Danio rerio: one gene and its partners. The protein of the gene in region 3 interacts with the protein of the main gene of each other region in a pairwise test. Links are inferred from orthologs where the notes say so. Each region holds a gene or a part of one and is shown on either strand. Other genes may lie near its edges. The genes, in order: eaf2, eaf1 and psme3.

Region 1 (4,289 bases), on a different chromosome or scaffold from region 3:
TTACAGAAGAAACAAAAAAGACCACTGGTAAAAACAAAAAGTCTAATAAAAAACATTTTTTAATTCTTTTCTAATTACTGAACACCTTTCTAATCATTTCCTTTCTTTGCAAATTATGAATTTCACAAGGCTACATCTATGATTTCTGAAGCTGGTAAATAAATATGTAAGAGCTGTAAAATAAATCATAATAAATGTCATGTGTGACCTATAATTTGTGCAGAAATGGAAATGTTTTCATTGATTCTACATCATTACTTGATTCATGGTCACACACTTTTTTCAAATGCAATTATATATAAAGCTACAAGCATTTACAGATGGAATCTAAAACTCAGCATCAGATCAGCATAAAATACAGAATCTCTAATCTAATCTAATGACAAGTAGTGTCAGACTTCATTTTCACCCCATCATATTAGATCTCAAAGGATGTTTTTCTTTGTTTTACAGACAGTCACCCAGCAACCTGCTAATTCCCTACATCACATGCTCCCGCTGAACCAATCTCCATCTCTATTGAGGTTTTCAGAAACAGTGGACTTCATGGAAATAGTTTTACGTTTAAGATGAATGACACTGAAGATAACCTAGTATACGGTATTCCGTGAACATTAAACTGAAAATAACAAATACTTAAGCTGACAGAAAGCTGGTTAACCCTCGCTCAAAATATGAAGTGAACGGGACAATTCATTTATTTAGCCTCCGCTTCGTTAATGAACGTGTCACTTTTACAACCGACTCATTAATATAAAGATACAGGAGAAATGACAGTGTAGTGTATGATCATACTTACATTAGATATTTGTTTTAGTAGAGTTGACATGTCGACGGTCTCTCTCCTCCACACACGCGCTGCTCGTAAATGAATCGGCGACCTCTAGATAGCAGAAGACCCCATATAACGTTACTCTCTCTGCGTCAATGCAAACAAACTGCACGATTTTATTAAAGAAACAAAACATATTTGGGGGAAAAGAGAAAACGATTCCAACACAGCAAGGCATATAATCTATTAATATAATTTAATATTTTATGAGGAATTATGATTTTATTGTCTGTGCTAATGAAATTACCCGTTTGGAACATACCTTAAAATATTTATTTTAGACCCAAACTACGTTTCAACATGTCATTTTTATTTTTTCTTAACTGACAAGACTTTTTTACTTGTCATCGTTAACTGCACAAATACAAATAAGCATTCTTAGGGAACACTAGAGGGCACCAGTGCAGTCGTGTAAACGCGTGTAAGGGAAAAGATGGGCACTTCCGTCAAACGTTACGTCAGCGTCGACTGATTGTCTTCTAAACCAATTACAGACAAGAAGTGAACGAAATGAGGCGTGACCAAGTGCAGTAACACAGCCAATCCCAACGTAGCAAGCGTGAGCAACGGGTCCAGAAGTGAGGCGTCTATTTCTGCCTTAGATGGTATCAAACCAAGCAGAAAGTTGAAAATCGCTAATATATGGTTGAAAATTTGGATTAGAATGAATGGAACAGCATATTCAAACTTTGACAGTCAAGAACACGTCCTCAAACTAGGCGAAACTTTTGAGAAACAACCTAAAAGTGCATTCCACACGGTACGATGTAAGTTGCATCTTTTATATTGCTAGCGGTATTTCAAAATGATCATATAAACACGATAATGTGAGTCATATTTTGAAAAAGAAAACGAGGTGTTTTTTAAGTTAACACCGAAACCATATATTGTTTTCAAAGAAAACGCACAGGCATATCAGGAGGCAGCTATGTGCTTTTCCACCTTGCTGGCTTAAACTCGGCTTTGTATGTTGTTTGGGGATCATTTAAAAAAGCATCCTGTCTTTGTGCTCACAACGAAAACTATTATAAATAAACAGCCTTTTTTGTTAGTCGAAAACTTGTCGTTTTAATGAAATTTTGAGAGCCATTTAATTCATGAAGAATAATGATCTTTCATGGGAAACACGCGCCCTCTGTAGGTTCTGCAATGATACTACGATGTTTGTTTTACTGTGTACTGTACGTGTCAGTAATAATAGCACACCTGAATATCAAGAAATATGTTCTTCCTGGACACAGATGATTTCAAACCAGCCTCCATAGACACTACATGTGAGGGGGAGCTGGAAGTGGGAAAAGGAGAGCAAGTTACAATCACATTACCGAACTTGGAAGTAGGTTTCATAACCTTACATTCTGAAGTGTACGTAAAATGAATGATTCTTGAGTCTTTTTCTCTCCAATCAACCCTTTCAGGGATCCACAGCACCAGTTACTGTATTTAAAGGCTCTAAAAGGCCTTATATGAAGGAGTGTATTCTGATTGTTAACCATGACACAGGAGAGTATCGTCTGGAGAAACTCAGCAACAACATTGCGGTCAAGAAGACCAGGTAAAAACACTTTTGAGTTTCAAGTCATATAAATATGATGCTTCCTTCTAATCCTTTGAATTGTATGTGAAGTAAATAAATTGTCAAATTCTCTTTTCTGTCCAGGGCTGAGGGAAGCAGTAAGATTCAGTCACGGCTGGAGCAACAAACCAGCAGACTCAGCCAGCAGATGAAGACGGGTAGCGGAAGCAAGGCTCCATCCAGCACCAAGAGCTCTCCTCCCAAAGAAAAGATGTCTCCATCATCTCCTATGGATGATATTGAGCGAGGTAACATGTCTGGTCCAAATTAAAAAAAAAAAAAAAAGATTCCTGCAACAAATCATCAGTTTCACATCCATAACTGATCCACATATTATATTGATTCATGGTATCTTCCGTCCATTCCATATCTGTTTTTAAACCGTTTGAAAAAAAGGGAAAACTTTTGGCTCTTTTTTTTTTTTTTTTTTTTTTTTGGGGTTTATTGTAGGAAAATGGATACTACTTTTAAATTCATTATACACATGTAGGCGATGTTGAAACGCCCTTTTTCATCTGACGAATGAAATCTGAGCTCATCACGTTGTCTTCAAAACAATAGTCCTATATATATATATATATATATATATATATATATATATATATATATTTAAAATAAGAGGAAATAAAAATGTAAAAAAAACTAATGGTATCTTTTGTTATAGCCCTAGGGCCCAATGTGTTCTTGTTCTGGTCCTGCTAACAATTATTTAAAAAACTAGACAATAAAAAAACACAAAGTAAACAATAATATTTATTATAAGCCTACTACTATTATTATTATTATTATTATTATTATTATTATTTAGGCCTACAGTAGCTCTGAAACAATAATGCAAACTAGGTTATGCTCAGAAAAGGCTATCTTTACTCGGCATCAGGCGCACAGCAGCAAGACGTTTTGCTACGAACTATTGCCTTCTTTTAATGACATGTGTAACTATACTGCTAATTTATGTTTTTATTTAACTTATGCATACGCAATGAATGTAAGCCTGCTAACTGATTAAATACTAGGATATTTAAACTTAGTTTATATATAAAATAAATAATAATGATAAAAAGCCTGGGTGCAGATCCTCAGAGGACTATTATTTTGAGGGCGACGTCATGAGCTTAGACTTGGTTAGCCAATCAGAGGAAAAAGGGCTTTCAGCACTGCTTACATGTGTTTAATGAATTTTAAAGTCATTGATCCGTTTTCCTCCCCTAAAATAAAAAATGAAAATCCAGCCAAAATGTAGGTTTTTGTGAGCAAAAGAAAAACCAAAAAACATCCGTTTTCCGTTTTTTTTTTTTTTTTTTTTTGGAAACGGATATGGAATGATTGGAAGAAACCCTGATTATACTGCAAGCCTGTGGTCTCAAATGACTGTGATTTAGTTATTCTAAAAGAAATCTAATGCAAATTGTGGAGATATAAACATAATACAATGAAATGACAGTTAAAGTGTTTCCTCATTTAACAATAATTATGATGGTTGTGATCGATTTAGTGTAATAGTCCTGGATTATTAAATCTTTTTCAATTTTGTCCCTCAAAACCATCTGAACCTAGTAAGTACAGTTCTTAATGTTGCTGTAGAGGTATTACAAGGTTATAACACAACTTTATATTTTTTCCTGGTCTTGAAATATTGAAGGAGACAACCATAAAAAAAAAAAATTAATAAATCATAAAAGTGCATTTTTTATACTCATTTTCTCTAAAAAAAAAAAAAAAAAAAAAAAAAAAAGTTTGATGGATGGATGAATAGATAGATGATGAATGGATGGATGGATGGATGGTTGAATAGATAGATGATGAATGGATGTAGATAGATGAATGGATGGATGGATGGATGGATGGATGGATGATTTAAAGTGGGGAAAAGTTTCCAAA
Region 2 (3,653 bases), on a different chromosome or scaffold from region 3:
GTTTTATTTGATTGTTGATCCATTTCACAGGTCTGGAGTCAGCTCTAATCAGTCTAAGGTATGTCTGACGTTTATGTTTAGATAATGTTCAGAATTGTACGCACGAACCCCACGTGGAAATTTTTCTAGTCTGTGTTTTAACCAATCAGGTTAGAACACCTATATGTATGCCGCAGTTAATGACGTTATGGGAGAGTATAATTGTTATTGATTGGTGATTGTAAGCAGAGCGGCCTAGGAACTTATTGCGAGTGTTGATGCTGGCTTCTGCGAATGAAACTGCAAACTATCTTCAGTAAACTTGATTTATTTATTTAAATATCTGACTCCGGCTCTTCTTCATCTACCAGACTGGTCATTCTTTGGGTTAAACTATCCCTACACTCCCAATATTCCATTGGAAATAACAAACTTATGAGCGCAAAAGTATAGATATGTGAACAGCATGTTTCATGGCAGCATCACAAAGAGGTCTATGATCTATGCATGACAAAAAAATCTGTAGACACATAGAAAAAAAATCTGTAGACACATAGAAAAGTACACGTGACTACTTCTGATATGTGCTCAAGCAGAACATTGGATCCTTACTTGAGTCTGACGACATGCACGCACACGCAATTTTTGGAGACAATTTGTTACACATTTACTACGAGATTTTTTGTGTGTGTCTGTTTTAGAGACATGTTACAGGTCTTTGATATAGATGTAATTGTTTTCCTTTGAAAATATGTTTTAGATTCATACTGTAAAACAGGGATCACCAAACTTATTCCTGGAGGGCTGGTGTTCTGCAGATTTTAGCTCCAACTCTAATCAAACACAAAACTATGGGACAGTTGCTAGGGTGTGGCTAGTAAGTTGAAAGGTCATAAGTGATTGGCAGATTGCTAGTGAGTTAAATGAGCACAACCTTAAGTCTGTAAGACAGTCTGGCGCAAAGTTATGAGATCACAAAGTTTGGTCCAATATTTAAAAGTTAATCAAGGGCTGTTTCTCAATTCCAAGAACGCAGAGAATGGACTTGCGTTCTTGTGGAGAGCGGTCTTGCCAGGTGTCTTCGGAAGAACGAACTCAGGAGACCGCGAGGGCAGAGAACGCGTCCTTTAAGAAATGGGATGCTGCGTTCTTCCTGATGGTCACATGACCTTCACGCGTTTTAAATGGAAATTATTTAAACATTACAACATTCATATAACGATTTATTGTTTTCCCCCTCTTCAAAATATATATTTTGCATAAAAACATTATAAATATACTCTGCACAATATAAATAAAACAGATTTTAATACGAATTTCAGCAAACAAACACCCTTAATGTGTTTATTCCTTTATTAAGATGTTCATGGTGATGTTTACTTTCACCATTTCATTTAGGGAAACTCCTGCGGTAAATAAGTGATATCTCTGAACATTAATAATAAATCTAAATAAAATGCTGCGCTTCCCACCTCCAGTCGCAATGACTTCTGGGACTTCCAGAGCGAGTTCGGTGCTCAAGTCTGTATCAGTGCGTCCTCGATATCAAGATCACATCCAGGAAGTTTCACGCGTCCTCCGTACTTGCGGTCTTGAGTATTGGAACTGAACTTTGGCAGCTGATAATGACGTTACACAAGAACACGAGGTTGCAAGGCCGCTGAAGAACCGATTGAGAAACAGCCAAGGTCTTAGTAGGTATACTTGAAACACCCAGGCAGGTGTGTTGAGGTGAAGTTGGAGCTAAACCCTGCAGGGCACCGGCCCTCCAGGAACTGGATTGGTGACCCCTGGTGTAAAACATCTGTGTGTGTCAAAATTGTTATTAAAATCAAAATCTTAATATTGTTCTAGAAAATCGTGTTTCTAAGGTTTGCCATATTACACATCCCTAATTTGTAGCTCTGCCCTCTTGTAAAAAGAGCACAATCTCATTTGAATTTAAAGCGACAGTCACCAAAGTGGCACAGTTGGGATCAAAACCTATTAATTATTGTTATATCCTATTTGCACAACATTCATAGTTATATTACACTGTATGCTTGTCTCGTGTGGGTAATATATATGTTTTCTTACGGAGTGTGTTCATCAGCTGGTTGTTGCCTTGTGATTTGTTCATTCCGTTGGCCATGTTGTTCCTGCTGGGCGAGAGATGTGTTTCCTGTTCTCCATCGCTGCAGGAACTGTCGTCATTCCCGCTGCCTGAACAACTGGCAGATTCTGAAGAGCTGCTGCTGCCACTGCTGCTCATCTGCTCGATCATGTCCACCTCGGCCCGCAGCTCTGACACACACAGATCAAAAACACTGGTTCAATTCAGCAGAGTCAGAGAAAAAGCTACATCAACACTGCAGACGCACAATATATGACCCTGGACCAAAAAAAACTGTCTTATACAGGGTATATGCCGAGCTGGTGTTGCTCCCATAATGATAAACGTCTGGTGACCTGTTATTGTGAGTTTTTTTTCCATTTTATATGTAATGTAATGTAATGAGTATTTTTATATAGCGCATCTTAATGTGTATGTCCGTACACCCAAAGCGCTTCACAATCATGAGGGGTGTCTCCACACCACCACCGGTGTGCAGCATCCACTTGGATGATGCGACGGCAGCCACAGGACAACGGCGCCAGTGCGCTCACCACACACCAGCTATTGGTGGAGTGGAGAGACAGTGATAGAGCCAATTCGGTGGAAGGGGATGATCGGGAGGCCATGATCGTAAGGGCCGATAGAGGGACTTTGGCCAGGACACCGGGGTTACACCCCTGCTCTTTCACGAGAAGTGCCATGGGATTTTTAATGACCACAGAGAGTCAGGACCTCGGTTTAACGTCTCATCCGAAAGACGGCGCCCACTGACAGTGTAGTGTCCCCTTCACTTTTACTGGGGCGTTAGGACTCAGGACACAGACCACAGGTTGAGCGCCCCCTGCTGGCCTCACTAACACCACTTCCAACAGCAATCTAGTGTTCCCTAGTGGTCTCCCATCCAGGTACTAACCAGGCTCAGCCCTGCTTTATATATGGTTCCTTTTACAGCATCAATGTTGTAATGTAATTCAATACATTCAGTTAAACAGACTTTGGTATTCACTTAGTTACTCAAGCGTAAAATGAGACAAAAACCTGTTTACTCGCACGTGACCAACAGAATCGGCAGGATAATGCAGAAGCTCCATTGAATATACTGGAGTAAAGTGAATGCTCTTTTTATAAAGACATGGCGGTGAAAATGTAATTTAATGCAGTGCTTCTTGTACAATCTCAGACACACTTTATATTGGATATCACTCAACCAATGGAGATCGCTGATTTTTAAAGAAAACAGACCATAAACGCATTTGATTTTGCTTTGGCATACAGTTCACCGGAAGCGGTTAACCCAGGTTACTGGCAAATTAAAAGTCCTATTGGCACGCTTCAGCATATACCCTATTGCTAGGCCCACACGGAATCTGCACGCGCAGAATTCCGCAGATTTCTGCAGATTTTTAGCCCATCATTAATTCAGTTTATTCACTTGAGTAAATGTGTAAATCTGAATTCATTCAGTTTTTATTCAGTAATGTATTACTTTTTATTTCATATATTAAGGTTTTAGTTATGATTCTCTGCTGGATACTCCCAAAATAATTCAGCAGAAATCCACAGATTTTTACCAAAATTC
Region 3 (4,200 bases):
GAACAGAAAGGTCAAGAGCAAATAATAGATATTGCTGCAATTTACATCACTGTGGATTTTAAAAGAAGACCCAGCTAAAATACATGTTAAGACATATTTTCTATGACAGGATTAAAGAATTTGCCTGTACGTTATTCGTTTTTAGCATCCGGTTAAAGGTTTGTTTATGTAGGCCTCAGCTACGGCCTTGTAGGACCAAGAAATGTAAACGTCCCCACATAAACGCCACCCAGCAAGGCTTAATGACTCCTTACCCAGGCCTCCACAGTCTCCCACTGTGCTTTGTTCGTGTCCAAGACTGGAAATTTCTTCACGTTGCCCCTAAAGTTCACTTTGACAGTGACGGGGAGGTTCATGTCTGTGAGCCAGAGTCAACGGAAGCGTTTGATGAGGGGATACGACGCTCTAAATGCCCGTGGTGCTGTCAACACTGTGAGACTTGTCTTTTGCGTTCTTGTTTACATCGCTAGATTCAGACACGCCTCCAATGTACGTCACAGGAAGTGTCTCGGATTTGCTTACGTTCGAACAAAATATTTTTATACTTTTTATCAAATATCAAAATAAAAATTGTTCAATGGTAAGCGAAAGCTTTTAATTGTTCTTGTGGGTACTTATATTGTGATTTCATCAAATAATTTATGTACAGCGAGAAATATGACGCAGACATGCGCTTCACTCTTTTCCAAGTCGTCAAGAACATAGATATATCAAAATACATAGATACCGTGTTAAAAGCGATATTCACGTCAGGGATCAGATTTACCTTTTAAAGAGAGAAATAGAATTTGTAGCCATAATGTCAAACTCTATTACTAGTATTATTCTTAATGTTCTATTTTATTATTATTACTTACAAGAACAACAGTGGTAATAATAAATAAATAAATAATGGTTTATTATGATTATTGATTGATGATTGTTGATGTTGTTCTTGTCATTTATTTTCATTATTGTTATAATTATTACTTAAATTACAGTATCTCTGTTATTGTTTGTTTGTTATTTCCCCCATGTTCATTAATATATTCTATTAACCATAAATTTTTTATCTAATTTGCAATTAATAAACCAGCTAAATCAAAATGACCTGACCTTTTCATCAGCGAATAAGCCCAGTTTAAACTGGGTCAGCAAACCCCAAATGTTTTATAGTAGCCTACATCAAACAGTCCATACTTTTGATCCAGCACAATTCACCCAACAATGTGTTCAAATAAATAACCCAGTACTTTTTTCAGTGTCTATTTAGAATACAGCCAAACCGCACACGAATAAGCTGCGTTGTCGTTGCATTAATTCGACTGAATTTGGTCACGAATGCCAGACTCTTTCTGCACATCTATCATGTATTCGCATCTATGGCCTCTGTGTTTTACGTCATCTAAAAGCGCGCAAGTGCCTTGTGGCTGACAGCAGTTAGTAAGCCACACGGTTAGTTAATGCTTTTAGGACAATCCCTTCATTTTCACATTTCTTGAATTAATACGATGTCTTCGCTCCTGAAGGTGGACAATGAAATCAAAACAAAGGTAAAAGTCTTAACGTTTCTTTTATTTAAACACGCCGCACTCAAATAAACTGTTTGTAAATGTTAGCATTGCGGCTAGCCGGCTTGCCCGTGAGTCACCTCGTGAGCACATCTGCTAACTTTCAGATCCAGATTTGCTTGTAAAATCAAACAGTTTTCAAATAAAATATTGATTTAAACGTTAAGTACGTTCGGATTGTATATATCAGATCACCAAGCTGAAGCCGAAGCCCCCACATGTTCGGCGGAGTCGTTGTTAACAGCGGGTGTGCGGATGAAGCGTGTTTTTAGCACAGCAGCATGTCGTTACGGGAGAATTGGAGAGAAGTTTGCCATCGTTTTTTTCCATTAGCGAGCTAAAAGTAATTTTTAATATCTACTTATTTTGTCAAAGGTTTACAGTTAAGATCATGAGGCTAATAAATTAATCCAGCGGGATTGTGCAGTTCTACATTCAGCGCCCTAAAACAGAAAGGCCGCCAGCTGTTTTGTTTTCTTAAAGCGATTTTATTAAAAATAATAAAAGCAGTGACTGCAAAATTCAGATTGGGAATTGCCTTAGTTGTGTTTCTAAAATTACATATTAATGTTTTTGTCTTGTCAGGTTGATGCTTTTAGAGAACGAATTACATCAGAGGTAAATTAACGGAGATTACATGTATAAATTATACATGTATTATTTATATACCGACATTTCTTTGACTATTTGACACTTATTGTTTTATTGTTGACATATAGGCTGAAGACTTGGTTGCAAACTTTTTCCCGAAGAAATTGTTAGAACTGGACCAGTTTTTGAAGGTAAGTGTTTGATGGTGGTTTATGATCAGGGTTTTGCTTTGTCTCTCTTCAGATTGAAGGCAAAAAGTCGTAAATTGGAGCAGAACGTTTTAAAATTGCAAAGTCTTGATTAAATGCTGCATGCACTTCAATGATTTGAATGATTTTTAGTTTGTTGTCCAGGACAAAAATCTAAACGTCCTTCAATTAAATCACATTGACTTGTTATGAAAAATTATTTTTTTCATTGTAAATGTTAAAGAAGAACTTTAAAAATCTCAACGGCTACATATCTTGAAATGAAAAGTCAGACTTTTGAGAAATCAAACTTAAATAATAATGCTTAAAACAAGTTTCTGCAGTTTTTTTGTTAGAAGTTCACTTTACTTTGGAAAAGTTTTTCAATGAGAAAACCCAACCCAAAAAGTTGGTGTGGCTAATACAGCCCATGGTCTAACACAGGAGACTGTCTTATATTTTTTATTATTTTTGTAGACTGAAGTAATTGACAGCTATGTTTTGTTCTGATATTTGTAAGGGCTTTAGAGTTTGTGAATGGATATATTTGACAATTATTTAAAAAAATCAAACTAAATTATTAATATTATAATTGTTTTGTTAAATGTATTACATTACAAAAAAAGTTATAGGGCAACTGAAAATCTTTTCTAACTGGGATATTTAAAAATAATCCTTAGCATTTGTAAAATTTTGCAATTTAATTCGTAATGGTCTAAAAAAATCTTAAATTTTACTTGGTGAAACCCAGATGTTGTTTTAAAAGGGGCTGAAACCCCAAAATGATGCATTGAGTCTTTTACCTGTTGTACAAACACTCATACATTTGATCACTTGTAGGATCCCACAATTAATATCACGGAGCTGCAGGAAATTCATTCAGAGATCAATCTGACAGTGCCAGACCCAATTCTGCTTACAGACATCCACGATGGGATTGAGGGGGTAAAAGTCATTTTCTTCAAGTGTCTTCTTCATTAGTCAGTCATATCATCTATTGATGTTGATCAAAAATCTCTGAATATGATAAAAAGATAACCTTGACATTTTTCTCAATAGCAAAATGCTAAAAAGAGGAAATTTGAAGATGGAGCAGGAGACGACAAAGGTGGGTATTGTCTTTAGTTTACCAAGTTAAACAAATATGTTTTGAAAGTGTGCAGTGTTGATTGTCAATGATAACACATACTTGTTTTATTAAATGCTCATATTGAAACTGGGAAATATTTCATTCTGTTTTTTATATTTATGCAAAGAATATTTATATTAACTATAAATAAATATTTATGAGCAATTCTCAGTGCAACACTGGTGTTTTGGCCCTGGGTGAATGTATTTTGCATTAATCATTTTACTCTTCCTAAAGACAGGTTTCAATTCATTTAAACTTTTTGCTGCCCCTACTGGCTGTTTTAGAGTTGTATTTGTATAATCATGACTGTGTTTTATTCATGACAGGCCAAACACTCTGCAAAATACTGTTGAAATTTACTGGGGGAAAAAATAAAAACGGAGATCTTGTTTGTTTGTTGTTTTGTTTGTTTTTCGTTTGTCTTTTTTCCTCTCTTTTCCATGTGCTCTGCTGTGCTGACAGATCCAGCCCTCACTCTTCTTTACATTATACTAAAGTTCCTGTTTGTACAGTGTGTCTTAAAGTATTAAAAGTTGATCAATTAATGTAGAGAAATTTAAGGCCCTCAAAGTGTTGAATGCTATTTTGCAAGGTATTACATTTTTTATAATTTTTGATTATACAATGTATGGTTTTATGCTAAAGTTTGCCTGAATTCTGTGAATATCGGGATGCTGTGTAGTTTATGAAATCATACTAGATTTGATATCATGCTGCTTTATTGCAGTAACCAATGCAA

What was found.
Region 1: the proteins of psme3 (region 3) and eaf2 interact in binary tests that used the Homo sapiens proteins (3 or more experiments, as listed by UniProt). The two-hybrid records come from large-scale screens. The link is inferred for Danio rerio from reciprocal best matches to the Homo sapiens genes PSME3 and EAF2.
Region 2: the proteins of psme3 (region 3) and eaf1 interact in binary tests that used the Homo sapiens proteins (3 or more experiments, as listed by UniProt). The two-hybrid records come from large-scale screens. The link is inferred for Danio rerio from reciprocal best matches to the Homo sapiens genes PSME3 and EAF1.

The regions. Positions count from the first base shown.
Region 1 is NC_133184.1:24,619,655-24,623,943, forward strand, and holds the start of eaf2 (ELL-associated factor 2), read left to right. Parts: upstream 1-1,391; 5' UTR 1,392-1,496; coding exon 1,497-1,599; intron 1,600-2,073; coding exon 2,074-2,168; intron 2,169-2,250; coding exon 2,251-2,387; intron 2,388-2,492; coding exon 2,493-2,656; intron 2,657-4,289. UniProt on the Homo sapiens protein: Acts as a transcriptional transactivator of TCEA1 elongation activity. Acts as a transcriptional transactivator of ELL and ELL2 elongation activities. Potent inducer of apoptosis in prostatic and non-prostatic cell lines.
Region 2 is NC_133191.1:7,236,148-7,239,800, reverse strand, and holds part of eaf1 (ELL-associated factor 1), read right to left. Parts: exon of another isoform or gene 3,012-3,653; intron 2,460-3,011; exon of another isoform or gene 2,263-2,459; coding exon 2,056-2,262; intron 1-2,055. UniProt on the Homo sapiens protein: Acts as a transcriptional transactivator of ELL and ELL2 elongation activities.
Region 3 is NC_133187.1:29,024,188-29,028,387, reverse strand, and holds the start of psme3 (proteasome activator complex subunit 3), read left to right. Parts: upstream 1-1,373; 5' UTR 1,374-1,490; coding exon 1,491-1,532; intron 1,533-2,135; coding exon 2,136-2,168; intron 2,169-2,269; coding exon 2,270-2,332; intron 2,333-3,169; coding exon 3,170-3,274; intron 3,275-3,388; coding exon 3,389-3,437; intron 3,438-4,200. UniProt on the Homo sapiens protein: Subunit of the 11S REG-gamma (also called PA28-gamma) proteasome regulator, a doughnut-shaped homoheptamer which associates with the proteasome. 11S REG-gamma activates the trypsin-like catalytic subunit of the proteasome but inhibits the chymotrypsin-like and postglutamyl-preferring (PGPH) subunits.